7 linked regions of the Ovis aries genome follow. The protein of the gene in region 3 interacts with the protein of the main gene of each other region in a pairwise test. Links are inferred from orthologs where the notes say so. Each region holds a gene or a part of one and is shown on either strand. Other genes may lie near its edges.

Region 1 (3,500 bases), on a different chromosome or scaffold from region 3:
CCTGGGTTCGATCCCTGGGTCGGAAAGATCTGGAGAAGTGAAGTGAAGTGAAAGTCGCTCAGTTGTGTCGGACTAACTCTTTGCGATCCCATGGACTATATATTCCATGGTCCATGGAATTCTCTAATCCAGAACACTGGAGTGGGTAGCCTTTCCCCTCTCCAGGGGATCTTCCCAACTCAGGGATCAAACCCAGGTCTCCCACATGGCAAATGGATTCTTTACCAGCTGAGCCACAAGAGAAACCCCACCCTGGAGAAGGAAATGGCAACCCACTCCAGTACTCTTGCCGAGAAAATTCCATGGATGGAGGAGGCTTGTGGGCTACAGTCCATAGGGTCGCAAAGAGTCGGATACAACTGAGCGACTTTGCTTCACTTAGGACCAGGAGCGCAGGATCCCAGGGGCATCCTGGAGTCTGGCTACCATGCTCTCCGCCTCCTCTGGTTTAGGAGGAAAGAAACATGCGTGAACATCTGCCATCTAGTGGAGAGCCGCTGCCCAGGAGACTGTAAGGCGCTGGGCGTTTCCAGCAGGATATTCGTGTCTAGTGTTTGTTCACGTGACGGGGGAGGAGCCCTGTTGACGCTTCATGCATGCGTCGTATTGGAGATGATAAACACACCTGAGTTCACTACACATACCGCTGAGTGTTATAATAACCTGTATGTGTTCTTCAACTCTTTGTGACCCAATGGACCATAGTCCACCAGGCTCCTCTGTCCATGGGATTTTCCCAGCAAGAAATACCGGAATTGCCATTTCCTCCTCCAGGGGATCTTCCCGACCCAGAGGTGGAATTCGTGTCTCCCGCGTCTCCTGCACTACCGGTGGATGCTTTACCACTGAGCCACCAGGGACGTGTTATAATAGATATACAGTAACATGTAATTTATTATGTAATTAATGCATTGTATTAATATTTCTATTTATATAATATGTGTAGTATAATAATATCATCATAAATGAAGTAGAAATTTGAGCCTTTAAAAAAAAATCGAGGTGAGATTTTTTTTCTAGTAGCCAGTTTGTTTATTAATTTATTTTTGGCTGTATCGCACCACTTATGGGGTCTTAGTTCCCTGAACATGGCTTGAACCCAGGGCCCAGCAGTGAAAGCGTTGAGTCCTTATCACTGTACCACCAAGGAATTCCCTCTAATAATCAGTTTAAATTGTGAGGCTTAAGCAGTTTTCAAGCCAAATCCTGTTATTGTCCTATAGGATGGCTGATCTGGCCAACAAGAATCAATTGGTGACTGAGTTTTGAACTTTTCTTTCAGGTGTGTTTTGACTGTGGTGCCAAGAACCCCAGCTGGGCCAGCATCACCTACGGGGTATTCCTGTGCATCGACTGCTCAGGGGGCCACCGGTCCCTGGGCGTCCACCTGAGTTTCATTCGGTAAGCGGGCCTCTCTCCTGGGGGCAGGGATGAGTACAATGTCCCATGGGTCTCTCTCCCCTTTTCCTTTACATTTGCTTTGCCGTCAAGTAACAAGAGAGGTAGGTCGAGTCATGGAGATTTAAGTCTACCGGTAACTGAGTAAACTGGGAAAATGAGTAATTTTCTATTCAGCTGCTGTTCTGTAGAGCCCGGCCCAAGAGCCGAGGCAGTGGTGTTGAAGACACAGTCGGAATCTAGGGTCTGAGGCAGGGTCCCAGGGTCTAGGGTCCTTTTCCTTTGTTGTTGTGTTCAGTCGCTCAGTTGTGTCTGATTCTGCGACCCCACGGACTGCGGCACACCAGGCCTCCCTGTCCTTCACCATCTCCTGGAGTTTGCTCAAGCTCATCTCCATCGAGTCGGTGATGCCATCCAACCGTCTCAACCTCTGTCGCCCCCTTTTCCTTTTTTACCTTCTGATGATTAGCAGCACATGGGAGTCTTGCTCTGACCCCTCCTGGGTGACAGGGGGTTCTGTCTGTCCATCACTCCTTCAGCTATAGTTAAGTCAGGGGGACCCTCGGAGCTGGGTTTCGCCTCTAGCATAATCCAACAGCTCAGGCTCCCAAGGACATTAATAGAGCTGGAGGGAATGATTGTTGTATGAAAGATGTGTGCAGTGTGAAGCCTTTTTTCTTAACCTGCACATATGTGTTGTCTGGGCTCCTCTAGGGATTACCTGCCTCTACTCTGACCCTCTGTGGGGCCTTTGTGGGTACTAAAGGTACCCCGCATTCCAGTGGGAAGCTGGATGTGCCCTTGTGTGAAGTTAAATACATTGAGATAAGGATCCCCAGGCAGGCTCTGGGCTTGCAAGCCAAACAGGACGTGCACTCAAGTAGGCCTTGCCTCTGCAGGGCACCCCTGGGGCTCAGATCTCCCCGTGGCTGGCCTCCCCTAGTCAGTTCACCTGTTGCCCTGCCTGTTAGGACTTAAGGACTACATTGATCCTACAACATGATTACCACAAAGAGTATTTGTTCCCGTAGACTAACCTATTAATATTATAATTTTTTACTATATTAACCTAAAAAGCTTTCTTTATATGCTCTCATGAATTCTTTTTCTCAGAAATCAGTTTATAAGAGCTGCTGCTGCTGCTGCTAAATCGCTTCAGTCGTGTCCGACCCTGTGTGACCCCATAGACAGCAGCCCACCAGGCTCCTCTGTCCCTGGGATTCTCCAGACGAGAACACTGGAGTGGGTTGCCATTGCCTTCTCCAATGCATGAGAGTGAAAAGTGAAAGCGAAGTCGCTCAGTCGTGTCCGCCTCTTCGAGACCCCATGGACTGTAACCTACCAGGCTCCTCCGTCCATGGGAGCAGAATGCGTTCAATATTATAGCTGTTTTAACTCCATAGGCAATGATTTAGGGAAGGGAATTCTCTTGTGTGTTCTTCTTATACTTTCTTGTTCCTTAGACACAGGATATTTTTTAACACACTCTCCGGTCCTCGTATCTTTTTCAAATGTGGAGGGGTGTGGTTGCCACGGCAAGTGTATCTGCATGTACTTTTCCCCCCCAGGTCGATTGTCACCAGGTAACACATGGTGACCCACTCTGCCCAGAGCTCCAGATGCCCAGACTCTGTGTGCCAGTGGCTCTCCTCCTCTCTGCTCGGCCCCACCCACCAGAGCCGGCCCTCCCTTTTCCCCACCACACAGCGCACTGCCAGTTTAAACCATCCCAGGAAACGAGGTGGCTTTCTGACGTGTCCCCAGCTGAGGGAAGGGCTGACTGAGAGCCTGACGAGACTGGACAGCAGGGTCTCTTTGGGCTGTTGCTGGTTTAATCACCACCCTTGGAAAGTTAGATAAATATAACCGGGTGAATCACGATGCTTGTACACGATTCAAAAACAGCCATTAAGGGAAAAAAAGTCTCTGTACGTATGACTGAGGGCAGCAGTCGAGGATTTGGGCAGGAGAAAGTCAAGGATGATAAGGGTATTTAAGGATTTTTTTTTCAGAGGTGGAGGGCTGCTCTTTAAACATTTTTCGTTGATTTTTTAAAAAAAAATTACAAACATTAGTTCATTGGGAAAAAATAATCCAAATAG
Region 2 (3,500 bases), on a different chromosome or scaffold from region 3:
TTTCCTTTGCCAAGGTACGGACATTGCTGCAGGAGAAGAAGTTGCCATCAAGCTTGAATGTGTCAAAACCAAACACCCTCAGCTCCACATTGAGAGCAAAATCTACAAAATGATGCAGGGAGGAGGTAACGATTTTTACCTATTAAGAAAACCAAGGTGGTGTTTGATAAGGGAGATGGCAGATGTCATGAATCACAGTCTGGTTGATTTGGAAAGGGGGCAGGAACGTTCATACCCTTGACCCCATCCTGTGGCTTCCTTCAGATACTATCTGAGAGGCCTGCAAAGGGCCTCACTCGACCAACATCATTTAATGCTCTTTGCATGAATATTCCCTTTCTTAGGTTTTGTTATGTACTGGTGTCTTTGAACACGAGCTTATGTCAGCACTGACATGAAGCTTCCTGCTGATCCTCCTGTGCTGTCTCTGTCACGCTGGCAGCTTTGGGATGGTCCACAGACTCTTCCTCCTGAGTGAGACCCCTTCCAGCTCAGTTACTGTCTCGCTTCTGTGAAACCTCTCCTTGGGCTTGAGGGTATCTGATGTCAGAGAACACCCATCCTGATTTCAGAGTCTCCCTTTTAGAATTCTCTAGACTTTGAGGATGTTTGGCTAATAGAGCAGGAAGGGGTCTTATTGGGGGTCTCAGTTCTGAAGACACTGCAGCATTTTGAAGGGTGTGCCTGTGCTGCTCCCCAGAGAGCTTGGAAAGCCTTGGCACAACCCTGAATGTCTTGAATTTCTCTGGGGACAGGGCTTTGTGTATGAAGAATAGCTCTGTTATTCCCTTCAAGGCAGAAGCCCCCATGATACTTTCAGAGTTGGGGATGGGGGTAGGCTCCTAGGGCTTTGCCAAAGGAAAGCTTGTCTTCAGAGTCTGTGCTGGCACTTTTGTCAAGTGGAAAGGGAGGACTGGTGAGGTGACTTCTTGGCATCTTTGCTTCACAAAGCAGTTTAATCTGTGCTACTACTACCAGAAACCAAATCTGTGCTACTACTACCAGAAACCACCATATCTCTGTTGACATAGCACAAGGAGTCTCTCTAGCAACATATACATCTTAAACAACGTGCAGAGTCCTGTGAGATGATTGCAGAGGGGGTGTCCAGTGCCTCTTGTCCCTGGTATTAAGAGACCAGAAAAAGCTGTAGGTTCTCGGATGGCACATAGACAGGAGACTCCCTGGCCCCTCCAGTGCCCAGGAGAAGTTGACAGAGGACCCTACCGGTGTGTCTACCCTCTGGAGGCCCTCAATGAGCTTCTCAAGCACCAGGTGTGGTCTACACAGCTTTTAAGGTGGTTCTGAATAGGAACAGGTGACTTGAGATATGGCCTTCATGGTGGAAGGAGCTTGGTGATGGGGATTGGATGAAACCTTCTGACTGAAAAGCCTGTGCATTTGAGGAGCAGCATCTCTGGGAACTCAGAAGCTGGGTGCCCAGGGACAGAGGGAAGGAGAAGAACTAATGTCAGGGAGGAGCTATGGAGTAGATTAAGACTCAACAAAGGGAATTCCCTGGTGGTCCAGTGATTAGGACTCTGCTTTCTCCACTAAGGGCACAGGTTCAATCCCTGGTCAGAGAACTAAGATCCTGCCTCAACAGAAAAGAGTTTATTTGGGTTAGAACAGGGTCTCTCCTCCGAAGCATTACTGTTTATAATGGAAGCTGTCTCCTGCATGGAGGACAGAGAGCAGCATCCTAGGTACCAGTAGGCCCTCACCCCCTCCCCCAAGTTGGGGTGATCAGAAATGTCTGCAGATGCTGCTAAACGCCCCTGCGTGTACTTTCCGCTTAGACCCCCTATTTTAGAATGCAAAAGATCACTTACGTTAGTCTTCCCATGCCCTTCCCGTAGGATCATGGAAACCCACCAGAATTCTAGAAAATATATTCTTCTGTCTGACCCTAGCCACACGTAGATCGGGTTTTACTCTTGCTTCAGATATACACTTGGTGAATTCTATCAAGATGTAAATGTTTGTTTTAGAAAACTGATTCTGTCCGGGAGCAGAGAGCTCCATGCTGGTACTGTTTTGTGAGCTTGTCCTAGCTGGGATGGCAAAGGAGATAGAGGCCTCTGCCTGGAAACCTCATAGCTCTCCTGTTGGCCAGCCTTCTGTATCCATCTTAGGTGGTGCATCTCTGATATGGTTTTTTTTCTTTTTATGCTGAGCTCTGGGCTTCTTTGCAGACAATTGATAAATTGACAGCATCATAGGAGAAAACTTGTAGCCCAGGGCTTGCTTTGCCCTCTCTAGCTTGTAGTACAGTGTTGCCTGGGTTGCTGCCTGTTAACAGTGGCCTTGCAGTACTCCACTAGAGAGAGCTGCTGTGCTGGCTCACTCAGGCCACTTAGGGGAGGGGTTGGCATTTAAAAACAACAACAACATGTTTTGGGGTGTGGATGAGGTGGGTGAAAAGTTTCAGTTGTATGGTAGCATTTGGTAACCAGATTTACAGTGGTGATCATCTTTTATAAGTGTATACAAAGATGAAATTATACACTTTGAAACTAATATGTTTTACACCAATTTTACTTCAATAAAAGCAAAAGCAAAAAAAAGACACACTAGTGTCAGGTATTGTTGAAAGTGTTTTTACATGTGCTGGCACGTTCTCCACCACAGTCCTGTGCAGTAGGTATCATCACCCTCATATAATGAATGAAGAAACTGAGGCTGTTTCTAAAGAACACAGATTTGAACATGAACACTGTAGCTCCCAGACCACTCCTACAGAGCAGCCCTCCATGAGGGTCAGCAATCAGGAACAAGCCCCAGATCTAGTTGTGCAATAGATTAAAAAACTTGAAATAGCAGAAATAATTTTAAGTTAATTATGTTGGTGAAGGACTTGGGTGGACACCCAGTTTTTATCAAAACAAAGTGGACTGCCAGGCAGAACCTAGAGGCTGACTGCACTTTCCAGTCCTAAGAACCCCACAAAGTATATTTAGACCACATTCTCCTTGGGAAACCTTCGAGTGGAGATCTTTTGTTTAGGTCAGAGCTACTTCTGGTCGAGGCTTGTGGCGGGTTGGGAGGAGAGGGTGGGCCCTTTGTATGAGAATTCAGGCCAGGGGCAAAGGGTGGGAGCTCTGCACTGATGGTGGGTGAATGCCACCAGTGACTTGGCAGTAGAAACAGGTGGCCTCTCACCCAAGTTCACTCTCATTTTACATGCCTGGTCAGTTCCCACAGTATATTTAAGACAGTTATGATCTTTTTTATTAGGAAAGGTTTTACAGTACCTAAGAACATGTAGAGCTCGTGGCTATTGGAATACTAAAACGAACCCCCAGAACTCCCATGTGCTTGAGAGAGAGAGCAGGAAGGCCTTCGGCACCTGTGTGCCCACCCCAGGACTTCTCTACAGCTGCCCAAAGCCTGTCTGCCCTTGCTTAGTGTGTTTCTATTTTTTTTTCTCCATTATCCTGCAAGAAGTTAGTTTTTTAAAATCTAATGACATTGCCCAGAAACGTTTGGCCATTGTATTT
Region 3 (3,963 bases):
CCGAGGAAATCTGGTAAGTGCTTGTGGAACTAACTGGGCAGCTTTGGAAGTCGTGGAGAACACCTGGTGGGAGAAGAGTCGTTGCGGGCGCCCCGGGGCGCGCGGGGGTGGGGTGGGCGTGCTGCCGCGAGGACCAGCTGTAGTCGAGCCTCTCTCAGAGGTGAGTGCTTATCCCTAGGGTGAGCGTGAGGAAAGGCAACTGACCTGTTTGCCTCCTGCTTCGACTGCTTCCCTCTTCTCGTCCTCAGAGGCCGAGAGGTCTGGATTCTCAGGGATAAGCTTCTCCTTTGGGAAACGCGAGGATGCTCCAGGGAGTATGAGTATTCAACTTTTGTTTGTCGCTTTCCTTAACCGCCCCCCGCCTCTAGTCCGCCCTCTCTGTTCTCTCTGTGAAGTAAACAAGCTATGTTTGGCAAATCGTTAAGTGGGAGCGCTGAGAGGGCGAGTCAACAGGTGATAAGGGGTTAACAGGTGCGGCGCAGGGTAGGGGGCGGGTTCCAGGCGCTGAGAACGCCCCCACGGGTGGCTGGCGCGCCTCCTGAGGCTTCCGTGGTTGTGAACTCGCGCCCTCCTGCACGCTCTGGGTTGATAGCCCAGGGTCGGGTGCATGGTTGGGTGAATTAGAGCGAGGGCGGTGGGCTCGCAGTTGGCCTGAGGTTCAGCCACACCCAGAGTGAGTGGTTCCTTCCCTCCCCTATTCGTGATTGATCTGTTAGCTGCCTTTTGGAATGTAAGCGTGTCCCTGACCCCCTGCCTTCAGGTCCCTTTCCTTTTCCTGTGATGTCTTCTAAACGCACTTCTAACTTATACTGTCACCATTTGGACCCTGGGAAGTTAAAAGAGGAGTCTATCTTTCCGTGCAATTCCACTTCGGAAACGCGTAAGAACAGCTCATATGATTCATCCTAATCCATGTTTAGGCGGCTAGACTTTATCCAGCCAAGATGGATGGGAGATGCTAAATTTTTAATGCAAAAGCTAAGAAAAGCCTCCTTTGTCCAGTGGTTGAAATGGAGGTACACTTAAGAGAATCTCACTCTTTTGAGGATTCTACTGATCTTTCAATAGTTTTTACTTTGGGTGGTTCTAATTTTGTTTTTTACGCAGAAGTTCTTAAAGTGTATTTTGTCTTCTCCAGTGTGGTGTAAAGGAATTCGTTAGCCATGGATGTTTTCATGAAAGGACTTTCAAAGGCCAAGGAAGGAGTCGTGGCTGCTGCTGAAAAAACCAAGCAGGGTGTGGCAGAAGCAGCAGGAAAGACAAAAGAGGGTGTTCTCTATGTAGGTAGGTAAGCCCTAAATGTCACTTTGATATTTATTTGGGATTGATGGGTTAGGATGATTGATGCTTTAAATGCTGGTATTTCTCACCACTCCTCAAAGTGATGGGCTGAATCAGAGGTGTGTGTAAGTAGGTGAATGTGTGTGTTTGAGCTAATATACAAAGTGGGGCTATTTTGTTTTTCCAGACTATTTAATTTTGCAGTAATATTTAGGACTTTCTTTTTTTAAATGAATGTTTCTATGCATAAGTAACTATAGCTCTGAGGACACTTTTAAAAACTCAGTCTCAGAAAATATTCAATAGTATCTTAAAATCAAACTCCTCCATGAGCTTTTGATTTATCTTCATGAATAATATATGCTAACTTCAGTGTATTCTAATTTAAAAGTAAGACGTTGATATAATCTTGAGATATGTAAAGAGAGACCTACTGTGACTCTAAAAAGAAAAGGACAGACAAGTCTTTGGAGTTACTTCTTGTGACCACTTGGTAAGTTGGGGACTAAGCTCAAGAAAGTGCTTGAAGGCTGCTAATATCTCTGAGACATTTATATAGTTCATTTATCAAATGATACAATAAATTAGATGCTTACTGTTTTTCCTTGTTTATAAATTCCCACATCAGAGTATTCTTGCAGTGAAGTGAAAGTTGCTCCATCCTGTCTAATACTTTGTGATCCCATGGACTGTCCATGGAGATTCTCCAGGTTAGAATACTGGAGTGGATAACATTTTCCTTCTCCAGGGGATCTTCCCAACCTAGGGATTGAACCCAGATCTCCCCAGGGATTGAACCCAGGTCTCCCACATTTCAACTGGATTCTTTACCCGCTGAGCCACAAGGGAAGCCCAAAAATGCTTGAGTGGGTAGCCTATCCCTTTTCCAGAGGCTCTTCCTGACCCAGGAATCAAACCAGGGTCTCCTGCGTTGCAGGCAGATTCTTTACCAACTGAGCTATCAGGGAAGCCCTACTCTTTTTTTTTAATCTTGAACTGTGTTAGGTTGGGTGTTGTTTTACAAGTCACCTGGAATTCTTTGGGTGAAGAAATAGGCATACACATAGACACACACTCATCTATAGGGATACAAACGGGCACATGAGCATACACTCACACACTGCCCATTCTCTTTTCTCCTCTGAGCTTTTCCTCCTTTTCCTCACATTCTCTGGTAGCAGGTGTAGCACCAGTAGCCAAAGGATGAGTAATAAAGTGGAGGATGAGCATAATGGATTGTGTAGAATACTCTGTCTATGTCTGTGGGGTGAAGGAAAGCTATATCGTCTCTTCAATAGAGATGGACTGGAGAAAAGTTATACTTGGAATGATTTTTATGAATATTTCTCATATTTTTTCTCACTGTTCATAGACTTTTTATTTTGGTTCAATCTTACCACAAACCTCTAGTTAAATTACTCTTTATCTTAAAATGTATTTTCAGAAAATCATTGAATTGAAAGATCTTACAAGAGGGAAAAGTCAATGAGTTAAACTCAGTTTTTTTCTTGTGAAATGTGGATTGTATCTTTTTAGGTGGAATTTGGAATACTGAATCAGTGACATTTAGATAATCAGTATTTTTATATTTGTCCTCAGTGTTCCAAGTTGTACAAGTGCATGCTTTGTAACCATTCCTTGATTTCAGTTACTTTATAGCTTAGTTACTTTTAAGATATTTTTAGTTGGATAATATTGATTTATTAGTTTTGAATGAGTCCAAGAACCACTGACTATTAAATTAACATGGTGCTGTTTTCCAGGTAATAAGCAGGATTATCATCTGGAAAACATTGTACTTGTTTTCATTTTCACCCATGAGTTTGGGCAAATAAAATAACAATTTTTTAGAGATTAATTCTGTTGTTTTCTCTGAGATTATTATATGAAATTTCAATTTGTTTATGTATACATATTTTAAAAAATAATCTTCAGTGTTCATTATGGTATTTAACAGAGTGCATTCTATATACTATTTATCAGTTGATATTTTAAAGTCAATTAAAAGTTGAACACAAATACATAATTCAGGATGAAGTATGACCTTGTGAAGTTATAGTACTACCAGGTTTTGGCAAGCTTTTTCCCTAAAGGGGTAGTGAATAATTTTAGGGTATGATGTCTGTTTCAGCTGATCAGCTTTGCTCTCCTGAAGTGAAAGCAGCCATAAACAATAATTAGGGTGACTATGTTCCTATAAAACTTTACTTACCAAAACAGCTGGAGAGTTTATTTGGCTCATAAGCTATAGTTTACTGACTCCTGATAAAGTAGGAAAAAAATGTAGATTTGATGTCAAACTTGAATTCCAGTCCAGACTACAGCACTTTTTAACCTCTAGGATAATGGAAAGGTACTTAACATATCTAAGCATCACTTTACTCATTTGTAAAAATACAGTTTGAATACATGCAAGTACCCTGTAGAGTTCTTGTGAGAACATCATAATAAAGCCGAACCTATAAGTAAAAAGGCATACTTTTAAAAAATTAAAGACTTAATTTTTATGTTTTAAATTAACAGAAAAATTGATATATAGAGGTTTCCCATGTACCCCAAACCCCACACATGCATAACCTCTCAAATTACCAACATCCTTTACCAGATGGTACATTCATTACAACTGCTGAACCTACATTGACACATCATGATCATCCGAACTCCATAGCTTCCATTAAGGAT
Region 4 (4,076 bases), on a different chromosome or scaffold from region 3:
GCGGAGGAAGCCGCGAGGCCGCAGCCCACCCACCCCGGCCTCTAGAGAGGTGCAACCCCGGGCCCCTAAGCTCCCGGGGGTGCCAAGAAGCCAGCCTGGGCCTGTCCCCAGGAAAACGTAGTCTCAGCTGTGGGGGGTCTCGAGCAGGCCTCGACCCTTGTCTCTGACCGGTGGAGAGGCTCGGCGCCTCACCCTCGCCCGGTCTTTGTGCAGGGCGCCGGCGGCCATTGTGTCCGTGCGGGGAATGGAGGACCCGGCAATCCCCCACTGCCACCGCCACTACCAGGGCCTTTGGGGAATTCAAAGAAAGCCAGCGGCGTTTCTGGGGGGTCTCCGGCTTTCAGCCTCCCAGAAAGGCCCGGGGATGGCCTTTCCAAACTCAGACCGCAGATCCAAGGCAGTGTTCCCCTCCCTCTGTTTCTCATCGAAACCTTGAGCCCCATCGAGAAGTCCCTTCAAGGTTTCTTCGGAAGCCTCACCCAGGGCTGATACTGAAATAGAAAAAAAAAAAAAAAAAAACTAAAGCTCACACCAGCCACCTCCGAGAGAGTTCTCCTAGCTCCCAGTAGGAGGCGGAGAGCCAAGGGGCGTGCAAGAGCGAGGGGGCTGGGCTCCCGGGTGGCAGGAGGCCGCGGCAGCGGCCGCCCTCGATCGGGGCGATGGAGGAGGAAGCAAGCGAGGGGGCCGGTTCTTGAGCTTCGTAATTCCTGTGTCGCCTCCTGAGCTCTCAGTTCGCCGGGTCGCATGATCCCTCCAGCCGGAGCTGCTTTTTTTGCCAGCCGCCGCCGCGAGGCCGGTTGACTTACCGGCATCCCCGCTGCCACCTCCTCTCCCACCTATGATACAAAAGATCTTCCGGGGGCTGCACCTGCCTGCCGTCGCCTGAGACGGATTTGAATGTAGGTGGTGAGGGTTTATGGGGGTGGGGGGCAGACTGCCCATGGGGGTGACTTTTCGAGGAAGACATTTCAGAGAAAAGGGGGTGGCTGGGATAAAAGGGGAGGAAAAAAAGGCCGGTGTGATGATTCAGAGCCCACTGGTGCTTTCAAATTGACTTCATCGAAGTACCTGGGAAGCTAGACCCATATCTTCATAAGAGCGGCAGAGAACCCAGTTCAAGTACCTGGAGTGGGGAATGGGATATTGTAGGTAAATGGCTTGCATATTCATTTTTTCCCCCCTGAAGCTCTTTCTTTCCCTTCAGAACCTTGTCTTGCCTTTGGATCTTCGAAGAGAACCACTAAGCAGAGACCAGACCCAGTGAGTGAGCAGGTGTTTTGGACAATGGACTGGTGGAGCCCATCCTTATTATAAAAATGTCTCAGAGCAACCGGGAGCTGGTGGTTGACTTTCTCTCTTACAAGCTTTCCCAGAAAGGATACAGCTGGAGTCAGTTTAGTGATGTGGAAGAGAACAGAACTGAGGCCCCAGAAGGGACAGAATCAGATATGGAAACCCCCAGTGCCATCAATGGCAACCCATCTTGGCACCTGGCGGATAGCCCTGCGGTGAATGGAGCCACCGGCCACAGCAGAAGCTTGGATGCCCGGGAAGTGATCCCCATGGCAGCGGTGAAGCAAGCCCTGAGGGAGGCAGGCGATGAGTTTGAACTGAGGTACCGACGGGCATTCAGCGACCTGACGTCCCAGCTCCACATCACCCCAGGGACAGCATATCAGAGCTTTGAACAGGTAGTGAATGAACTCTTCCGGGACGGGGTGAACTGGGGTCGCATTGTGGCCTTTTTCTCCTTCGGTGGGGCACTGTGCGTGGAAAGCGTAGACAAGGAGATGCAGGTATTGGTGAGTCGGATCGCAACTTGGATGGCTACTTACCTGAATGACCACCTAGAGCCTTGGATCCAGGAGAACGGCGGCTGGGTAAGAACCACGCCCCTTATGTATTCCTTTTCCTTGGCTTCTGGTCAAATCCCCAACAACCTTTCCCCTGTGTCTGTTGTGCTGGGTGATTATTATTGTTTGTTAAGGAGACATAACTGGCCTCTTTGTATCACAGAGGTTAACTTCTGAAATACAGATGACCTAGTTCTGTGAGGACCAGACATCTTCATTCTGGTCTTCCTCGTGACCCTACTCTGTCATACTTGTGTTCCAGTTTCTCTGCAGAAGATAACATAGCCTGTGTGTTCATTTGGCCCCAAACCTTTGAGAATGCAAAGGTAACAGGTTACCCCTCACCCTGACATAATGGCTCACAACGTTAAGGGGTGATGAGTGGAATGCCTGGAGAAGATAGTGAATATCAGTGACCCACCAGCCCCTTCAGTCTTACTCCCTTGAGCTGTCAATCCTGTCCTGGGCTTCCCTCCTCCAAATCAGGTTCCCCTTATTTCAGAGTTTGCATGGCCTGGCTTTGCATCCCTCTGGATGGCTGAGGATTGTCTGATTTTAGGTTGTAAGCTGCGCCAATGGGCCAGTTGTGTTTGTGCTGTGCCCCATATTTATTGGCTCTAAAGTATGCGACTTTTCTGTGTGGTTGGCCAGTTTGCGGAGCGCTTGCTGTCAGCCCAGGGACTTTGCACCTCACTGCCTGGGTTGGTTGGGGAGCTCCAGCTGTTATGCTTGTCACTTTTCTGCCATGGCCCTGGGGCCTCTTCACTGAGCACTGTTTGCTGGCAATGCAAGAACCTGATCTTTGGGGCTCCTTGGGACATTGAGATTCAGTGACAGACTTCAGAAACAAACTGACACAGATGTGAGTCCCAGCCCTGTCACTTAACTAGGTGTGTGACCTTGGACAGGCCAGTTTACCTTGAGCCTCAGGTTCTTCCACTAAAAAAATGTGGCCAACCCTCTTGCCTTGCAGTCCTTGTAAATCTTGGAGCTGATGTGAGCATAGTGACAGGAAGTTTGCTCTAGTAGTTACTGTCAGATCCAGGTACACCTTCTGAAACTGAGTCGTGCCTCATTCCTTTGCCAGGGAAGAGAATTCCCTTGCCCTGATATCACCAAGTCAGGATGAGCTGGTGTGGAGGGATTCTTTACCTGTGGTCACTGTCAGCAGCTTTTGCTCTCTTGCAGTGAACTCAGTCATATCTCCTCGCTTATCTCCCTGCCTCAGGGAGGTGTAGGGCTTAAGAGAGGTATTCATTCTGTCCTTCAGAAAATTGAGCAGGCTGTGGAAAATAAGTCATCTATTGAAGGAGCTGAGGTGGAAAGGGCCACGCACCATGGACTCAGGAATGTTAAGAATGCAATTATCCAGAGGCTGGGCCTAGGGTGTGGCAGCCACTTCAGTTTACCACTGAGCAAGGGACCTCCAGGTACACCACCCCCTGTCTTATTTCCCATTTCTTTGCAACTTCATCAACTCTTCCCACTGCCAGTTCTTATAAAGAGCAGAGTAGAGGTCAGATGACCGGGGTGGGGCTGGGAAGGTAAAGGTGGAGGGCTTTCTTTGGCTCAGACTGACCCAACTTGAAAGCCTTTCAGTAAATGAACTCCCTGGGGGAATAAATGATTAAATAGTTCCTGTTGGTTTGTGTGATGACCTCTCTTTTTCCCTCCTGCTTTGATTTTCTTTAGGGGCAAATATTTGTTTAACTTACTACAGGAGGGACAGGATTCCAGCGTTTCTGACACACCCTCTGAGGCCTAAGTAGAGACTTGGGCCATTTGCCCCTCACTGTTATCTCTGGCTGGTGGTCCTAATTCCATGTGGGTTGTGGCCAACTGTTAACAAAAGGCAACATGGGAGAGGTTCCTGGCCTGCCAGCCAGTTGTCTAAGAGGGCCACCTGGACCAGAGAGTTGTTAGTCACCCAGTGTTGCGTGTGGAAAGAGGTCTTTGACACAGCAACACTGGGCAAGATCATTAGATCACCACTGGATTGACATTCCATCTTCTGCTGTCTCTTTGCCCAACAGCATACCATGTGTTACTTCCTCTTGGTGGACAGAGGGGATGTGTGCAGAAGAGCCAGTTATATCAGAACCGTTTCTGGGCACGTGTTCTTCCCGAGGCCAGGAGATAGAGAACATGTGACACTGGGATCCTTTGGGTAGAAGGTGCCGCCCACTTCCTCTCGGGGACCATTCTGTTTGAGCTGCACACTGG
Region 5 (3,498 bases), on a different chromosome or scaffold from region 3:
CCCCTTCCTGTGCAGGTGATGCCACCCAGGGTTTTGGTTCTGCTGTTTTTTTTAAACCTATTTTATTCCTATTTTTATATGTTTCCATTTTGTGTTTCCATTGTTTTCCTGTGGTTCAGACAGTCCCCTGAAGGTGTCCTTCAGAGGTGGCTGGGGGCCTGGTTCTCCTGTTAGCATTGGAGATTTGGTGCTGGCTTCTCAGGCAGCTGCCAGTCATCTCTGTCTGGTTGTCTTCAGCGCCCTTTCCCTGAGGTGTGTGTGGGTCAGGATGTGTCCTTCCTGTATCTAGAGGTTGTGGAGTCTCTGTCTGCACAGCCCTCAGCAGACTGTGTGCTTGTGCATCTGGGCGGGGGTGCGCAGATCTGGGGATCAGAAGTGAAGAGCAGTGTCGGGGTGCCCAGAGACCCTAGAGTGCATCGGGGGAGGGCTGGCTGGTGAGCCCCTGTGGGTACCCAAGGCTGCTGTCCCAGTGTACCCAGACAGGCTCCCCCAGGTCCCCGCTCCTGGCCACTGCGCTCCAGTCTCTGTCTCCTGCACGAGGACACCTGAGCTGAGGGCCCACCTGAATCCCAGTGGTCTCACCTTAAGACCTTTCACCAGTTATATCGGCAGAGACCTTTCCAAATCAGGTCTCGTTTGCAGGCTTTGGGTGTACTGCGCTTGCTTTTCCCCCTCCCTCACTGGACACGCAGATCATTGCTGACCACTGGCCTCCAGGGTCCCCGCTCCCTGCATTGGGCCTTCTCATGGCAGGGGGAGTGAGTGTCACTTGGGGGACACATGACTCATCTCTGGAGACTGGGTTTTCCTTCAGAGCGCTGCCCAGTGAACGGGAGGAAACAGGAAGGAATCAAGCTGTGCCTTGGTTCCTGCAGAGCTGGTGGCCTGCCGCAGTTTTTCCACTGCCCAGGAGCGAGTAGGGGTGGGGCTACATTGGGGTGGAGGGGTCTGTGTCTGAAGGGGTCTATGTCCGGGTTGGGGGGCCTCTTTAGTTGAGAGTTTGTGTCTGCGTCTTGGGGGCCTGGGCATCTGTTCTCTGGGGGCTGAGTTCCCCTCTGAGGGCCGAGTCCTTGTCCCGGCACCTCTGTGTCCCGAGCTGCCCCCTTCTCTTGGGCTGTGCGTCTCAAAACTTTCCAGATGTCTGCAGTGGTCCTGTGTGCCTGGGTCCTCACGGACACACCTCTCTCAGCACAGGAAGTCCTGGAGAACCTCAAAGACCGCTGGTATCAGGCGGACAATCCGCCCCCGGACCTGCTGCTGACAGAGAGCGAGTTCCTATCGTTCCTGCACCCTGAGCACAGCCGCGGCATGCTGCAGTTCATGGTCAAGGAGATCATCCGGGACCTGGGTGAGGCCTGGCCGCGGAGGTCAGCCTGGGCTGGTCCTAGACTGGGTGGGTGGCTTGGGGGACTGTGTGCTCGCTGCTCTCAGTCACGCTGAGACCACACAGATTGAAAACCTGATGACAAAGCCCCATTGGCTGAGTTTCTCCCGAGTGGCCTTGGTGGTCCTGTGCCCACTGGATTCTGACATCTGCCCTCCTGTCCCACAGACCAGGATGGTGACAAGAAGCTCTCGCTGTCTGAGTTCATCTCTCTGCCCGTGGGCACCGTGGAGAACCAGCAGGGCCAGGATGTTGATGACGGCTGGGTACGGGACAGGAAGAGAGAGTTCGAGGAGCTGATTGACGCCAACCATGATGGGATCGTGACCATGGCAGAGCTGGAGGTGGGTGTGGGGCCATCCTGTGCTGGGAGGCAGAGTTGATCTGGCGGTGGCTGGGCACTGGTCAGGGGAACTGGAGCCTCCGAGCTGGGCCATGCAGCCGATGTCATGGGCTCCCCTTTTTGGGCCCAGGTGTGCTGTCCCCCATGGGCAGTCTGGCCAGACTCTGGGGCGGGAGGGCTGTGCACAGGCTGGACCCACTGCCTGCCTGTCAGTGTCTTCCCTGGCGTCGTGTGTAGGTGCTGCATGGCCTTGTTTCCTCCCGTGGCTGGATGAGTCATTGCATTTTATTCCAGAATCCCCTGACCCCTCCTCATAGCTGGTAGGATGTCTGGTTTGGGAACTCCTGCCTGTCAGCACTGCCGTCCTGGCGGTTGGTGTGCATGTGCCCCGCTTCGGGGCCTCCCTTCACCCTGCCCTTCTGTGGCTGGACACCCTGATATGAGCAGGGAGGTGCCCACACAGGTGGAGGCTGCCTGGCCCTGAGCCACTTCCAGCCTGGTGCCCGCCTTCCAGAACAGGCCCACCTCCTGGCTCCACAGCTTCTGTCCTACCAGCCAATGGGTACTACAGACCAGCCTCCGCCTGCTGTAGCCAAGGCGTAGGTGCCCCATGAGTGCAGGGTGTCCTCAAGGGGGTCTTGGTTGCATAGCTGGGTGTGGCCTGAACCTGAGGAGATGCCCCTGGCCCGGAGGGGTTTGGGGTGCGTCGGGGCTGAGCCGCTGCCCTTGCAGGACTACATGGACCCCATGAATGAGTTCAGCGCCCTCAATGAGGCCAAGCAGATGATTGCTATCGCTGACGAGAACCAGAATCACTACCTGGAGCCTGAGGAGGTGCTCAAGTACAGTGAGTTCTTCACGGGCAGCAAGCTGGTGGACTACGCCCGCAGCGTGCATGAGGAGTTCTGAGCCGCCACCGCACCCCCGCCCCCTTCCTGCCCCCGCAGCACCCCGCGGGCTGCCCGCACCCTGATTCCAGTGTAATCGCTGCATCTCGCTTCTGAGAACTCAGAGCCCCACTGCCGGAGGCACTGACCACATCAGGGCGGTGGGCTCCCCCACCGTGGGAAACGACGGAGCTCCTGCCATTCCCTCGAAAACTGAAAGGTGAAACTTTGCTGGAAACCGGCAGCCAGTGGCCGGGGTGGGGCGGGGTGCTGGGTGGGGCTGTGAGAGCCACCGGCCCGTGGCCGTCAGTCTCTGAGGAGCATGAATATTGGTGACAGGAATCACATTAATTTACTTCAAAATATAGTTGCCTTTTTCTCTCAGCTTCATTGTTTTGGTGGGAAAAAAAACCACGTAGACGATTACTTGGGATGTTTGTGGCCAGGCGGCTTCCCCTTGAAGTTTTGTGGTGGGCGGTTTGGTTAGAACCCGGGGCTTCCTAGCGTTGACATTCACCTGTGATCGGGTGGGGCCTCAGCTGCCAATTTAAAGTCAGGAGCGAGAGTCCAGGCCTGGGTGAGGCCACCTGGGAGGGACCAGGAGAAAATGGGACTTTAGGACGGAGGGGGACTCTGAGGATGAGCGCTCCCAGGGATGGGGGTAGAGAACTAGGGGCACTCACAGAGTTTGGAAAGCACAGGAGTCCTGGCCTGGGGCTCTCTGCCGGAGATGGGGAGGAGCAGTCCCGGGGGTTGTGGTGAGGCTGGGGAGTTGGGAGCCTGCAGTGGGGGAGATGAGGCGACAGGTCCTCTACTGGCTCCTTCCCAGGGTCTGCTGTGCCTGGTGCGTGGCTGGCATGTGGGGTGGAGGAGATAACACACTG
Region 6 (3,500 bases), on a different chromosome or scaffold from region 3:
ATGTCCATTGAGTCAGTGATGTCAGATGCAACCATCTCCTCCTCTGTCATCCCCATCTCCTCCCACCTTCAATCTTTCCCAGCATCAGGGTCTTTTCCAGTGAGTCAGGTCTTCACATCAGGTGGCCAAAGTATTGGAGTTTCAGCTTCAGCATTAGTTCTTCCAAGGAACATTCATGACTGATTTCCTTTAGGATTGACTGGTTTGATCTCAAGGGACTCTGAAGAGTCTTCTCCAACACCATAGTTTGAAAGCATCAATTCTTCAATGCTCAGCCTTCTTTGTGGCCCAACTCTCACATCTGTACATGACTACCGGAAAAACCACAGCTTTGACTAAACAGTCCTTTTTTGGCAAAGTAATGCCTCTGCTTTTTAATACACTGTCTGGGTTTGTCATAGCTTTTCTGCCAAGCAGCAAGCATCTTTTAATTTCATAGTTGCGGTCACTGTCTACATGGATTGTGGAACCCAAGAAAATAAAGTCTGTCTCTGTTTCTAATCCCCATCTATTTGCCATGAAGTGATGGGGCCAGATGCCATGATCTTAGTTTTTTGAAAGGACACTTGGGAGGCATTTCTTATAAAGTTTGCAATAGAGAACAGTTTTAACTTGGTTTTAGGCAAAGAATTGTCTAGCTTGTCGTCCTTTGTATTTTGGAAAGTGTGATCTTGGACGAGTGGAAGCCCCGAAAGAACTCAGCTGTGCAAACAGCGCCGATCTCTTCTCACAATAAACCCCTTACTGCGCAGCTGAGGGGAGCAGTCAGTTGACTCTGTTTGTCCCCGCCCCTCCCTGCAGAGCTCCCTCTGTGCAGGTCCTAATGAGCAGTGAAACGGTCCTGGGCCTGCGGTGGGAGGGACATCCTGGGTGACAGGGCTGAGACCCACAGCAGCTAATTAGTGTGCGGCTAATTGACCTTTCCCAGTAATTGTATTCCTCAGCCTTTGGCAACCAGAGAGGGGGGCCTTTCAATATCTCTGTGTAGTATCATATCTTTGATCATAATGAAAAGTAGCCATCAGAAATGTGAAATAAATTCAAAGCATAAATCACAAAGTTCCTGTCTTTTCAAAGTCTGTATTTTTTTAAACGAAAGATCAAGTCGAAGGAACAGTTTTTATTCTCATCCCATTAATATAAATTGGCGTTTGTGTTCATTCATCACTGTGGAGGTGACCGAGAACACAAGAGGGAGAAAGCAGTGGGAATGATTTTTGGTTCTTCTGACTCCCACTGATTGCCCTGAGCTCATGCTGTCTTTAACCACAGTATCTCATTGTTCGCAATAGCCATACGAAACATTTGTTAACCATCACATTAAAAAAAAAAACAACCTTGAAATGCCTTCCTAAATAATTGCCATTTTTGTCTTTGACATAGAAAATACACTACAGTTAATTCCCCTGTAAAAGTATGATAGTGACAAGGCAGCACGCGAGGGTGCGTCGAGGTGTATAGTTGTTACCAGTATCGTTGTATTTTGTATGGGTGTTCTTTAAATTCCCGAAGATGGAGGAGAATGACAGTCATGGGGGGCGGTTTGAGAGAGCAGAGTCCTTGCTCTGTGGGAGAAGTGACAGACTCATGAGCAACCGTTTCTACCTGGTAGCTATTCTGAAACTGAGACGTGATTTGTGGGTCTAGCTTCTGTCTTAGCAAATTAGCTGATGTCCAGATTTAATTCTACTGAATTTTAAAGCCTTGATTACTGTAGCTTTGTAGTATAGTCTGAAGTCAGGGAGCCCGGTTCCTCCATCTTCCTTTTTCTTTCCCGAGATCGCTTGGGTTATTTGGGATCTACTGTGTTTCCATAAACAGCGTATAATTGTTTGTTCTACTTCTGTGAAAAATGCCGTTGGTAATCTGACAGGCCTTGTATTGAATCTGTAGGGCGCTTCGGGTAGTGTAGTCATTTTCGTGATACTGATTCTTCCAATCCAAGAGCATGCTGTATCTCTCCCTCTGTTTCTTTTGTATTTGATTGCTTCTATCAGTATCTTATAGTTTTCTGAGTACAGGTTTTTTTCTTCTTAGGTAGGTTTATTCCTAACTCCTGTGCATTTTATTCTTTTTGTTGTGATATTAAATAGGATTGTTTCCCTAATCTCTCCTTCTGTTCTTTTCTTGTTAGTATATCAGATTGTGAGAGATTCCCATGAGTTATTATTATTTTTTCCCCCCCCTGCATCTTTCCCAGATTCATTGAGGAGCTCTCATGGTTTTCTGGTAGCATCTTTAATTTTCTATGTGTAGTATCATGTCCTGCAAACACCAACAGTTTTACTTCTTTTCCAGTTTGGATTCTTTTTTTTCTGTTTCTTTTCTGCTTGCCATGGCTGGGACGTACAAAACCATGTTGAATGGAAGTGGCGAGAGTGGGTATCCTTGTTTCGTTCCTTGTCTTAGAGGAAATGCTTTCAGTTTTCCACCAGTGGAATGATGCTAGCTGTGGTTATACAAATCAGGATATAGTTGCAGAACGTTATTCTAGATGTTCACTGGTTTTAATTGTGAGATGGGATGAAACAGTGAAAGATCAGAATAGTGTGGGTAACCTCTCCTCTGACTTCATTGGCCTGCTGGTGATTGCTAGTGGTTTTGGAGTATTTGTGGGGTCTACTGGAAATAAGTGTATTGTAAATTCTAGAGAAAATTGCCCTGTCATTGGTAATAACAAACTCTCTGTACTTTTTAAAAAACAGAAAGGGGGATAAAAAATACAGAAAGGGGTGCTAGTATTTAAATTTGATAATGATAAGGGCATGCCGTTTCTGGTGAATCAGTTTTGAAGCATATTGCTGTGTAGAACTGAAGACAAGTTCAGCGCCACCTGTGCTTCAGCGCCTGCTCATTCTTGTGATTTTGTCTCCCTCACTCAGAGCTGTGACCTGGATCAGCAGAGCATCATTCACATTGTGCTGAGACCGCGGAGAAAAGACCCAGAAGGGCACCCACCTCGGGGGGACAGCCCGCGGCCCGCTTGGGGGCGCTCTGACAGGGAGCCCGAGAGCCTGACTCGCGTGGACCTCAGCAGCTCGGTGCTCCCCGCCGACTCGGTGGGCCTGGCTGTGATACTGCAGGACAGCGAGGAGGGCGGCGCCTCGTCCACCCGCAGGCCAGGTACCCGATGCCTCTCTCCGTGCCTCGCGCCGGGTTCTGCGTGCTGAAGTCTCCGCAGAGAGCAGCCTCACTCTGTGTGTGAATACCTAGATCACAACACGCTCTAAATCAGTGGAAGGCGGCATGGCTAGAAGGAGAGTCTTGTTACTCTAAGATTTGAGGTGACGCATTTAACAAGAACGGCAAAGCAGAGCTTTCCAGTTAGGAATGAACATAAAGGATGAGCAAAGTGTCAGGCCCGTAGTGATAGTCCTCGTTTGTTCGTTTGGTGGTTCTAGGGGTGATGGACTCATGGGACGCCTTGTGCTGGGCTCACAATATGCGCACTGTATATCCCTCTCAGTTGCGCCTTTCTCTTTTCTTCTGTGCTTATTTAC
Region 7 (3,500 bases), on a different chromosome or scaffold from region 3:
AAACTTTGTTCTGTTTTAGATGTAGCTGACTCTCTATTTCCCCTGAGAACCACAGAAAAGTATGTGCAGCATTGCCATCCTCATCAGTAGAGCATGTTAAGCGTCAGCATACTTGCAGTGCTGTTTGGTTCTGTATTATCTGCTAAAGTCACACTGGGATATGATCATTTGTGGGCAGGATAAAATCACTTCATCAGTTGCCTGGGAATTGAGGATTCATCCATATGGGCCAGATGTGTGGAAGGGGTGAGGAGAGTGGCAGCGCTGGATTTCTCTGCTTAGACCGAGCAGGAGAGGAGAGCAGGCCACAAGGCCTCTCAGAGTCTTTCCCCAGGCAGAGACCTAGGTACCAGCCGCTATGCTGTCTGAGCTCCAGGAGCCCCTACACGCGAGAGGGAGGCGAACACCTGAGTCAGCAAATATGACACGGGGCTCCAGGCACAGTGCTGGAAGTGCTGTGGGTGTGATGGAGTGAACCCAGAAGTGGCGATTATCCCAGAAGGAAGGCGACAGGTTCATGGGGGTTAGGGCACCACTAGGGGGTGTGTAGTTCTCTGGGGTGGAGAACATGCCAGGTAAAGGGGTCAGCACTTAGTCCTTTGAGCTACAAATGGCACAGCCCATTTGAAGCATAAGGCCTGATTTAGGGAAGAGGGTGGGAGTACAGTGCAAAAATAGGGACCTTAGATTCCAGAGCAAGAAGCAGAACTAAAAGCTAAAAAGTGTGGAATCAAATGAATTCTTACAAAGTGGGAGGTCCTTGCTGAGGTCAGAGAACCTTGGCTTCCAGGTTAGAAAAATGTCTCACAGGTTCAAGTAAGCCTGTGGCCGTACCTCACTCACAAAGGAAGCCGAGGCCTGTGCTGTCTCAGCCACAGGGATGCCCATGGCTACTGCCCTCTTTCCCAGGTGATGGGTAGCGAAGGCATCCAGGAGCTGAGGAGCAGCGCCACCGCCCTGCACCACCGGCTGGAGGAGTCGGCCTCCCTCCTCACCATGTTCTGGAGAGCAGCCTTGCCAAGCTCCCCTGGCGCTATGCTTGTGGGCAAAGTGGTAAGAAGCCAGCATCCTCTACCGGTTCTGCCCCCAAACTAGCCTTCGACCTCCTCAGCCTGCAGAGCCTGAAGATCAGGAGCTGAATGGGCAGTTGGGACGAAAGGGACATGAGGCATGTGTCCCTGGAGGGAGACCTCTCCTCTGTGGTGAGCGCTATCTGTGCAGGTCTGAAAACATCTCTCTCCTCCCAGCCTGACCCCCAGGATAAGGAGCCAAACAGGAGAAGAAAAGAACATAGAGGAGGCAGAGACATGAGAGCCCTGGTAACCCACAAATGTTCCATCCCTTTAACTTTCTGAAGTTCAGCTGAGCTGAAGTTTGGGGCCATTTAAAACATCAACACCTCCTTTTCCATCCTAAGCCCACTCCCACTCACCTCCAGGTCTGCATAGGCAGACAGGATCACAGAATGTCCCCAGGAGTGGACCAGCCCTTTTTACCCACCCACTGAAATCCCAGAAAAATTTCCACTTAAACCTGTATCTCTGGGTCAAGCCTGTTGAGAGTCAGCCTCCCCCAGGTGCTCTCAGATCTCAGGCCACTCTGGTTGATGATCTTGGATTAGGTAGATTTCAAAATCCCTCCTAGTGTTCTCACTCCAGACTAGTATCAATGATAACTTTAGGGGATCCAACTTTGCTAATTCCAAGGAGGAAGTATTTTACCATCCTGAGGCTGGCAGATATATTTACAGACTTGTAGAACGTCTCAGGCCAGTCCTGTTTCCCCAGGCATAATATTCCTAATGACCAATTTTTGATGCCCAAGTGATATAACTATGTCAGCATTAAATCAGAGCTCTTACTCACAGCTAGGAGTTTCAGTGTGGCCTGGACTCAGGTCCTCTGCAGCAACTGGAGTGTGGCCTGTGCTCCTTTGCATAGGGGCTTCCAGGTCCTCAGTGTTCCCACCTCATGGCCCATCCTGAGCCATCACCTGCTGGAGGGTTTTAGAGGCTTTGATGAGGGAAATCTGGTCCAGAAATACTTGAGAAGATTGTAGAATCCTGTTTGGGATTGTAAAGAGCCACAAATCACAGGATGCTTAAGGCCTTCTGACCACTGACAGAGCACCTATTTTTCTTCCTAGGGAGAGTCTATGAAAAAGGAGCTTCTGGAACTGAGAACCAAACTATCCAAACAGGAGAGTCTCCTTCAGAGTACATCTGAGCGTCTGAAGACCGCCAACCAGCAGAAGGAGAGCATGGAGCAGTTCATCTTCAGCCAGTGTGGGTGCCCTGAGCCAGGGAATGGGACAGGAAATTGGGAGGGCCTTCCTGGCTCCCCACTTGTGCTGTGAATGGACAGCGACCAGAGAGGCTAGGGGATGGGGGAGACTGATGTGAAATCCCTGAACCTCCTGTGCCATCAGTAATCATAGAGGCAGAGGAGGAGATGTGGGGGTGGAGGGGACTAGGAGACCCCAAGCTGAGTGGCCAGAAAGACAAGCTTTAGAACACACACACCCAAGACAGATATGGACCCCACTGGTAATTTCTGCCTTTGGGAACTCTTTTGTTGTTACAGTGACCAGGACACACGATGTTTTGAAGAAGGCAAGGACTAATTTGGAGGTAAGGAAACCACTGCATTGATCAGAGCAAACTGTCACCGTCTGTATCAGAGTGCACAGGTGACTCCTGACTTGCGCTGACCTTCCAAGAGGAAATTTCTGGTCCACCTGTGGGAGCACAGGTTCTCAATGAACATCCCTCTAGATTCCATCCCCATCAGTCCTCCCACCCTAATCAGAAACCTCCCCTGACTTCTCAGTTCACTCTCACTTTGTCATCATCTTCTCTCTTGACCCCAATTCTCTCTCCTTTATGCCATGTCAGGATTGGGGAGAAATGCAGTTCAGTTGATTCTCAAGGTCAGAGGACATATGGGGTCTGCCTCTGAATGAGCTTTCCAGTAAAGGAATCCTGAGGCCAATCATGGGTTCCAGGGTTCCTATGCCACTATATAAAAAACTGATGGAAAGATGCCACCTAACAAGTTGATTTCACTGCATAATATTGGGCTGAAAGCAGCAATTTGATTTTGACATATTTTTCTTTAGGAAACAACATAAGAAAATCATTGGGTCTTATTGATCTAAAAGAGAACTTGGTAATAAGGAAAAACTGAAACTTAAAGGGAAAGATTATCTCATAAGGCAGGCATTCTCTACATTTATTGAAAATACCAATGCATTCTCAAGCAGCCACTTTGAAGAAAAACTTGAGGTGTTAGAAATGGCTTCAAAGTCAAAAGCTAAGCTTTGTACCTTGGGCTTTAAAGCTTTGCCATAATCAGTTGAGCCCATTCCTAGGAATATTCCTAAGTTTTAACCTAAAAAGATGTTGACCCCACAGTATGAAAATGGGTTGGGCCATAATTTAACCCTGATTTTCTTTTTTCCTGCTAATTTCTTCTGATTCCTTTCTTTCCTGAGCCTTTTTA

The links.
Region 1: the proteins of SNCA (region 3) and ARFGAP3 interact in binary tests that used the Homo sapiens proteins (3 or more experiments, as listed by UniProt). The link is inferred for Ovis aries from reciprocal best matches to the Homo sapiens genes SNCA and ARFGAP3.
Region 2: the proteins of SNCA (region 3) and CSNK1D interact in binary tests that used the Homo sapiens proteins (3 or more experiments, as listed by UniProt). The link is inferred for Ovis aries from reciprocal best matches to the Homo sapiens genes SNCA and CSNK1D.
Region 4: the proteins of SNCA (region 3) and BCL2L1 interact in binary tests that used the Homo sapiens proteins (3 or more experiments, as listed by UniProt). The link is inferred for Ovis aries from reciprocal best matches to the Homo sapiens genes SNCA and BCL2L1.
Region 5: the proteins of SNCA (region 3) and SDF4 interact in a two-hybrid assay, tested with the Homo sapiens proteins (2 studies listed by BioGRID and IntAct). The link is inferred for Ovis aries from reciprocal best matches to the Homo sapiens genes SNCA and SDF4.
Region 6: the proteins of SNCA (region 3) and PRKN interact in binary tests that used the Homo sapiens proteins (3 or more experiments, as listed by UniProt). The link is inferred for Ovis aries from reciprocal best matches to the Homo sapiens genes SNCA and PRKN.
Region 7: the proteins of SNCA (region 3) and PDE4DIP interact in a two-hybrid assay, tested with the Homo sapiens proteins (2 studies listed by BioGRID and IntAct). The link is inferred for Ovis aries from reciprocal best matches to the Homo sapiens genes SNCA and PDE4DIP.

The regions. Positions count from the first base shown.
Region 1 is NC_056056.1:219,584,210-219,587,709, reverse strand, and holds part of ARFGAP3 (ADP-ribosylation factor GTPase-activating protein 3), read left to right. Parts: intron 1-1,282; coding exon 1,283-1,401; intron 1,402-3,500.
Region 2 is NC_056064.1:50,108,909-50,112,408, forward strand, and holds part of CSNK1D (casein kinase I), read left to right. Parts: intron 1-14; coding exon 15-125; intron 126-3,500. UniProt on the Homo sapiens protein: Essential serine/threonine-protein kinase that regulates diverse cellular growth and survival processes including Wnt signaling, DNA repair and circadian rhythms. It can phosphorylate a large number of proteins.
Region 3 is NC_056059.1:35,535,625-35,539,587, forward strand, and holds the start of SNCA (alpha-synuclein), read left to right. Parts: upstream 1-1,163; coding exon 1,164-1,284; intron 1,285-3,963. UniProt on the Homo sapiens protein: Neuronal protein that plays several roles in synaptic activity such as regulation of synaptic vesicle trafficking and subsequent neurotransmitter release.
Region 4 is NC_056066.1:60,937,206-60,941,281, reverse strand, and holds the start of BCL2L1 (bcl-2-like protein 1), read left to right. Parts: upstream 1-1,276; 5' UTR 1,277-1,316; coding exon 1,317-1,880; intron 1,881-4,076. UniProt on the Homo sapiens protein: Potent inhibitor of cell death. Inhibits activation of caspases. Appears to regulate cell death by blocking the voltage-dependent anion channel (VDAC) by binding to it and preventing the release of the caspase activator, CYC1, from the mitochondrial membrane.
Region 5 is NC_056065.1:50,598,832-50,602,329, forward strand, and holds the end of SDF4 (45 kDa calcium-binding protein), read left to right. Parts: intron 1-1,189; coding exon 1,190-1,348; intron 1,349-1,552; coding exon 1,553-1,728; intron 1,729-2,459; coding exon 2,460-2,636; 3' UTR 2,637-2,998; downstream 2,999-3,498. UniProt on the Homo sapiens protein: May regulate calcium-dependent activities in the endoplasmic reticulum lumen or post-ER compartment. Isoform 5 may be involved in the exocytosis of zymogens by pancreatic acini.
Region 6 is NC_056061.1:85,560,519-85,564,018, reverse strand, and holds part of PRKN (E3 ubiquitin-protein ligase parkin), read left to right. Parts: intron 1-2,882; coding exon 2,883-3,123; intron 3,124-3,500. UniProt on the Homo sapiens protein: Functions within a multiprotein E3 ubiquitin ligase complex, catalyzing the covalent attachment of ubiquitin moieties onto substrate proteins. Substrates include SYT11 and VDAC1.
Region 7 is NC_056054.1:97,837,343-97,840,842, forward strand, and holds part of PDE4DIP (myomegalin), read left to right. Parts: intron 1-909; coding exon 910-1,053; intron 1,054-2,145; coding exon 2,146-2,284; intron 2,285-2,582; coding exon 2,583-2,629; intron 2,630-3,492; coding exon of another isoform or gene 3,493-3,500. UniProt on the Homo sapiens protein: Functions as an anchor sequestering components of the cAMP-dependent pathway to Golgi and/or centrosomes.